Danio rerio: one gene and its partner. The protein of the gene in region 1 purifies or fractionates together with the protein of each later gene. This does not show direct contact. Links are inferred from orthologs where the notes say so. Each region holds a gene or a part of one and is shown on either strand. Other genes may lie near its edges.

Region 1 (3,656 bases):
AGATGGACCTCCGCCTCACTAAGTTTGTCCAGGTCAGTTCAAAACAAACAAGCAGTTATAAGACACCACTGGCATTCATTAGACATTTAAACCACAGTTGATTATTGCAATAATGGACTGATCCACTGAAGCTATCCTAACTGGCTTTGATTTGTTTATTAAAACTTTTAGAACAGTTGATGAGTTGCAGTGTTGTTTTACAGGAAAAAAACACAAGCACTCAGGTTCAGGATGAGTTTTTGGAGCTGCTGTTATGGGGCCATGCAAGGTAAACAATTTATAGATGAAATAGATGAAATGTTCATTCATGAGTTAAAGTGAAACTGCCGAACTGCAGTTAAAGTCAGGCATCCTGCTGATTTCATTCAGAAGGGCACTTTTTGTCAGACGGCTCACCGGTCAGGTATACATATCAAGGTGAAAGTCATCATAGCTTGCGTAGAATAGACCCAGCTCCCAAACCAACTTTGAGAGTACATTCACGGCAATATTTTTTTGTTGCGCGATAAGAGTCTCGTGTTAGCGCAGCACGTATATTTTATTTATTTATTTTTATTTATTTAAATCTGAGTATTTGATATAATTTTAAAATAAACTTTTAAATCATATATTTAAAACAAATTGTATTATATTGAAGTAGACATGTCACATAGATTTTAGATTTCTTCTATGTACAATTGAGGGCAAAACGAAGAAATTATTGTAATATTTAACAGAGCAAGGACAGTATTTCCTATAATATTTTTTCTTCTGGAGAAAGTCTTATTTCTTTTAGTTTTGCTTAAATAAAAGAAGTTTTACATTAATCCGTTAAGGCCAGGTTTATTAGCCCTTTAAGAAATATTTATTTTTGATTGGTTACAGGACTTATCCAATAACTTGCCTAATTAAATTAACGTACAAAGTTAACCCAATAAACTTATTTAAGCCTTTAAATGTCACTTTAAGCTGAATTCCAGTGTCCTGCAAAGTAATTAGTAAAATATGATGGACTGTCATCACTGCAAAGACAGTCATAAAAAGATAGTCATTAAAACTAATATGTTTAGAAATGTGTTCTTCTCTGTTCAGCAGCACTTGTTTTTTTTTTTAAATAGTTCAAAATTAACAGGAGGCTAATAATTTTGATTTAACTGTACATGAAATCAGTTTTTGTTTAATGTAATTTTAAGTGATAGTCTAAACAAATATAAATACTTCCTAAGTGTTTCTAAACTTTCATGAATTTCTTTTTGCTGTTGAACACAAATCAATATGTTCTAAAGAATGTTGCAAACCTGCAGTCATTGACATTCACAGTGGGAACAGAAATGCTGTGGCTGCTGCTTCCCAACATTCTTCAAAGCATCTTCTTTTTTGGAACAGGTTTGAAACAAGTGGAAGATAAGCAAATGATAACAGAGTTTTCATTTTCGGGTGAACTATTCCTTTAATGTGGACACCAAAATGGCACATCTTGTCTCTGTTTGGAATGTAAATATATGCCTCAGTGGGATGCCTTGAAGACAAAAAGGTTGAGAAGTACCACAGTCAACCTTCTCATGCTTGTATTTGCTCTGAATGACCAACAGAGGGCACAATGTGACTTTAAAACTTTTACAGCTACCGACAGAATCTGAAAAAATACCATCTACAATACATTCATTTACAACCATTATCCAAAGGCTGTCACTAGTAGGGAAATAAGCCAAAATGTGTTTTTTCACCCCATAGATCCTTATTTCTGGATGAACAAAAAAACTTTAAGGAAAAAAATGTTCAGGTTTTTTTTAGATCTCCAGCCTGAATACAAACAGCTGTAGTACTGTTTTTTTGATGATGATGTGTTGATGTTACTTTTTTAAAACTTTATAAATGCAGTTTTCTCTTTCAGCCCTGAACTTCAGGCTCTTCTCATGAATCAGCTCACAGTCAAGGTAAATCTACCTTGCTAATCCTATCTGCTTACATTGCTTTAGTGATTATTACCAACATCATTCATTGTAACTACATTTTTTGTTATTTGACCACTCAGGGCTTGAAGATGCTGGGTCAGTCTATTGATTCTTCCTATTCCAGCATTCAGAAACTTGTTATCAGTCACTTGCAGAGGTGGGTATTGTTCACCTGATAGAGAGTGTTAGCGATCAGCATGATCAGTGTTTGCTGTTCCCATAGTGGCTCTGAGGCGCTGCTCTATCACCTGAGCGAGGTCAAAGGAATGGCTCTATGGAAGCAGAAGTTTCAGCCTCTAGGCCTGGATCCTTCAGACATAGAGGGTAAAACAATCACTGTTTGTAGACTTTAATTATTTTATTATTATTTATATTCTATTATTCATGAATACTTTGAATCAGTTTCAACAATATATTATATATTTTTCATTTTATGTGTTATGCGCATTAATATTTAATTCTAATATGTATATCAAAGGGCCATGACTCCACCCCTTTCTCAGCAGGGTCTTTTCAGACCTCTAGTTTGAAAAATGTCTGGAAAGTGGGTTAGTCCAGCTTTGTTTAGGCGGGAGTGTCGAGTGGAAAAAGAGGGAAGGGTTTGCATGAAAAGGGGAGTTTCATTACGAGCACTACAGCTGATTTTCACAGCGGCAACGCAAACATGGACACAAGGGAGATAGACTGTGATTACTTTTACAAGGACATCAGTAATCAAATTATTTGCTTTAATCTGAAAAAGACAATAATAAGATTAAGGTGTTTACATGAGTTGCTTTTAAATGTTCCTTTAATGCTTGAGACTAGGTAGGTGCAGAGAATAGCATTAAACAGCCGTGTGTGTATAGACTATCCTGTCACAAAAATGTGGTGAAAATCCAACACAATGATATTAGTTTGATTAATGTGTTTACATTTGGAGAGCAGCATTTACAGCGGATCTATCAGTCCATAATATTGTAGTGATTTTAACATACTGTAAATTTAGTAACTTAATCATTTTGACTAAGGCATGTCTTTAAAAACTGAAAGAGTACTGCTGATGATACTAACTAACTTTGCCATCTGAATAAACATAAACAACAAACACTGATCACACACTTACTAAAACCTTAAAGACAGGACAATCAACTCCAACTGGAACTCCAACTTTTTAAAAAAGAAACGAGTGGCTTTTCTGGATTTCACTATATACATATGCAAAAAGCTCTTCGGTACAGAAATGTTCCTTACAAACATATTTTTATTGCGTGTTAGCAGACCACTGTAATGCACATATGTGGGTCCACACACTGTGCTATACTAATGCTGTGCAATACTGGTGACCCTCGTCTCAAAACAATTCTTCTTTTTCCACTTGTTTTAATTACGGTTGGAAATACAACGTGGTGTCTCTCTGAACACCGTAACAGGTAAAAACAGTCTTCGAAGCTATCATGCATATTAATGAAGTTACACCTCACACACAATAGAGCACGCTGATTGGTTCGAACCAAGTCTTTCTCATGAGTTAATGATAAAAACTAAAAAATGTCAATTTGTACTAGCCGGTACAGACATCCAGTCTGTACTCTGGTATTTACACAAGAATCTCATGGCCGTGACGTAGTTTTGAAATTTATTTTCAAACCGGAAGATCTAATTTGCTCGAAATAATGCAAAACAACCAGTTTTCACTTTCACGCGTAGGACACAAATATCACTTTCAACATCTCAAAAAAT
Region 2 (3,853 bases), on another chromosome or scaffold:
GTTGAGTGAAAGAATGCGCTAGAAATTTGCATTGCGGCTCCCTTTATTGTACAGGCTTATTGCACTTAAACTTTTTTAGGTTCGGCTCTCGAATTAGTAAGGTTATGAGTAAATGTTATTTAAAATATTTAAAGCCTGCCATCTAGCCTACAATAACAGCAAATTTAATAATAGAAAAAAATAATAAGACAGGCCTACTTTGGCGTTGCAATAAAATAGTATTAATTATCAAAAAAATAATTACAATATATAATTAAAATAGGAAGAAGTAAATGAAAACAAATGGTACCCTTTGTTTTTATAGCAGGGCCCAAAGTGTTCTTATTCTGGTTCTGCTAACAACTATTAAAAAGAAAAAAAACACACCAAACAATAAAAACACTAGTAACTGATATTAATAATAATAATAATTATTATTATTATAAAGCCCTATTATATTATTATAAAGATTGTTATGAAACAATCATGTAAACCAGGTGCTCCTCGGAAATGGCTATCTTTGCTCTGCATCAGGTGCACAGCAGCAAGAAGCTTGGCAGTGAACTATGACCTTATTTTAATGACAAATGTCTAAGAATACTGCTTTACGTTTTTATTTAATTTATACATACGCAATGAATGTAAGCCTGCTAACTGTGTGTGGTTCAAATGATAGAATATGTAAACTTAGTTAATATATAATTAAATAATAATAATTAAAAGCCTGCGTGTAAGGCTTTTATTTTGAGGGTGACGTCACGAGCGCAGATTTGGTTGACCAATTAGAGGAAAGTGGGCGTTTCAGCACCGCCTACATGTGTAAAATGAATTTTAAAGTCGTTTATCCGTTTTCCTACCCTAAACCAAAAAACGAAAATCCAGCCAAAATCTCGTTTTTTCGTTTTCTCGTGAGCAAAAGGAAAAACGGCCGTTTTCTCCATTTCCTTTATTCCGTTTGAAAATGGAAAACAAATGAACAAAACGTACACGGACCGTTCTAAAACAACAAGTTTTGTACATTTAGTTTTAAAGGTTTAACTAAATAAATCGATCAAAAACTTGAAGAAAAAAACTAAGGTTAATGAACATTTCAACCGTCTATGCCCTTAAATAGACAGTGAAAGAATAATTCAACTAATGCGATTATCAATTTAAAACTTGAAAAAATATAAAAACAGAAAAAACACACACGTTTATCCCTTTTTTCTCCCTTCACGCTTAAACTACATTTCCCATGATTCCTTCTGCTCTTTCTACGGTCTAAAGCGTGAATGATTACGGTAAGTGATGTGAGCTGAAATAGTCATCTTCTTTCAGTTTAGAATTGTTTGTCAATAGTTTGCCAAGCTTACTAAAATAAACGATCTTCACGGTTCATTATCCTGACGTTTGTCACTGTTTAAGACCCAGAATTTAGAGCTACTAGGCTAATTAGCATGTAGCTGCTAAACAATAACGTTATGGTGTTGAAGCAGGCGTCGCTGAATTTCTTGAAATTACGAAATACACAACACGACGGTAAACGTTCAAGTAAAGTGTACTGTGTATGCAGATATAATACTGCAATCATGGGCTTTTGCAACGTTAGGTTCCTTAAAACATAGCATTTGAGCTTTCTCAGAGTCAAAATATATATGAAGAGTTGAATAGAACTACCACAACTCAACTAGGTTAACCCATCGATTTCTAATGAACATACATTATATATGTAACGTTAACGTTAATAAGTGTGTAAATTAACTTAAGCAGCGCGTGTAACGTGTTTCCAGGCAACGAGAAGCCGGTGATGTGAAGATGCTGAGGAGGAAACCAACGCGCCTCGAGCTCAAGCTGGACGACACGGAGGAGTTTGAAAGTGTCAAGAAAGAGCTGGAGGTAAAATTTTGGACTTGTCATCGTGTCTTAAACATGTGTCATAAATAGTTGCTTCAATTTACTGTACACACATAAAGACATGTTCCTTCATCCCAGTGGGGACTCTCATAGACCCCTTAATGATGGTTCTACTGTACAAACAGTAGATTCTATCCCCCTACCCCTAAACACAACCCAATTTATCTGTACTGCATGTCTTTGGACTGTGGGGGAAACCGGAGCACCCGGAGGGAACCCACGCGAATGCAGGGAGAACATGCAAACTCCACACAGAAACGCCAACTGAACCATGGTTCGAACCAGCGACCTTCTTGCTGTGAGGCGACAGCACTAGGTCTGGTGCGACTGCTTCGTCCGAGGACAGGATTTTCCCGAATGTAATTCTATAAATTTGATGGGAGTAAACCCAATATAGAAATGTAAACAGAGATACGCTAGTGCTTGAGCCTACAAATGGACAAAGCAGTAAAATTAGTTATAAATCTTAGTGCAGCATGGTAAACAGTGTCCAGTGCATGCAGACTAGAAGACGAAGCATACATATAGATAACATCAGCGTAGTCCAATATCAACATAAATGTTGCATCAACCAGCTTTTTTGTAGCATCAAAAGTAAAGTTGTATTGGAGTTGTTCTACAGCTGATTTTGATAGACTACAGTTATGTGTTAGTAACCACAGCGAAAATATATTTCTGCTAAAAACATTATCAATTATGATTAAGTTATGATAATGATATTATTAGGTTATGAAAATGATACTTTAGTCCCTGCTCTCCCCTACTTAATTAAAATAAAGCAAAAATTCTTAGTCCACCACTGCAAATCAGTCAGTAATAGTGTGATTTCTTCATCATTCTTTTTCTCATTTAAAAGCAAGCATGTAAGCAAATCTTACAGAAAGTAAGAAGCTTTCTATAATCTCATGTTACTTTCCCCACATGTGTTAAGAGTCGGAAGAAACAGAGGGATGAGGTGGATGTCGTCGGTGTCGCCACATCCAGTGAGATGAGCGGAGCGGCAGGTGGCACTGCTGATGGGAAAACCAGAGAGCAGATGATTCACGAGAGAATTGGATACAAACCCCACCCCAAGCCTAACACGTTACCATCGCTCTTCGGAAACCTTCAGTTTTGACAAGTGCCAATCCTGAACAATGGACTATAAGGTCTTGAGAATCTGTAACACAGACACGTACGTGCACACAGAATATATTCTGCATCAATCTTGCCAGATTAGAAATGGACATAAAATTATGGCTTTGGTTAACGGTGTTTGTGATAACTGATTTCAAATGACTATTTTTCTATTGAAATAAATAAAGCCTTTCTAGTTGGATGTGGAAATGGTGTGTAAATGTGATATTGGCAGAATTATATTTTTGATAATACCGATTAGGGCGCAACGATTATAAATTTTGGTTGTACGATTATAGTATTAGAAATAATCACGTTTATCATGATTATTTGCATTCATTGATCCCAAAACCCCATTAGTTTATAAATAGTTTAAAACGGTTTTAAATTTTGTTTTATATATTGTGCCCAACTAAATATTTGTTGCTGGTTTAATCGTTTAATTTTATTTAAGTGCATATAAAAAATTCAGTGGATATTATTGATGCATTATTTGGTAAAACTGCTCATTCAATGTGTTTTTGGTCATTATCAATGCACCGGTAAAATAGACCCAGCGGCGAAACCACGACTGCTTGCATGATGCTCATGCCTCGTGTTGACGCACTGCTTCTGCATGCAGTATGAAAGCTCTAATCTGTTAACATGGATGCGAAAAAAAACACTCTCTGGTCATGCCTGCGGTGTGAAACAGGCTTGAGTCTTTCACCACTGTCTTTAAAAACATTCAGTTGATCCCAGCTGGGGATTCGCCACATGATTGCTCTCCACAACGCCATTATTTGTAACTTTAAGTGGGTTTGCCAATCTGTGTCCTTTCCAGTGCTTCTTCCTTAAACCGTTAGCCGTTTGCAATTCCCACGGT

Evidence for each region. The genes of interacting proteins can lie anywhere in the genome.
Region 2: the proteins of anapc4 (region 1) and cdc26 purify together in Homo sapiens (affinity purification with mass spectrometry; 11 studies listed by BioGRID and IntAct, with this or other methods). This does not show direct contact. The link is inferred for Danio rerio from reciprocal best matches to the Homo sapiens genes ANAPC4 and CDC26.

What each region holds. Positions count from the first base shown.
Region 1 is NC_133195.1:26,086,949-26,090,604, reverse strand, and holds part of anapc4 (anaphase-promoting complex subunit 4), read left to right. Parts: coding exon 1-32; intron 33-203; coding exon 204-268; intron 269-1,873; coding exon 1,874-1,916; intron 1,917-2,014; coding exon 2,015-2,091; intron 2,092-2,157; coding exon 2,158-2,258; intron 2,259-3,656. UniProt on the Homo sapiens protein: Component of the anaphase promoting complex/cyclosome (APC/C), a cell cycle-regulated E3 ubiquitin ligase that controls progression through mitosis and the G1 phase of the cell cycle.
Region 2 is NC_133180.1:62,620,637-62,624,489, reverse strand, and holds cdc26 (anaphase-promoting complex subunit CDC26), read left to right. Parts: upstream 1-1,199; 5' UTR 1,200-1,259; intron 1,260-1,748; 5' UTR 1,749-1,773; coding exon 1,774-1,854; intron 1,855-2,803; coding exon 2,804-2,989; 3' UTR 2,990-3,198; downstream 3,199-3,853. UniProt on the Homo sapiens protein: Component of the anaphase promoting complex/cyclosome (APC/C), a cell cycle-regulated E3 ubiquitin ligase that controls progression through mitosis and the G1 phase of the cell cycle.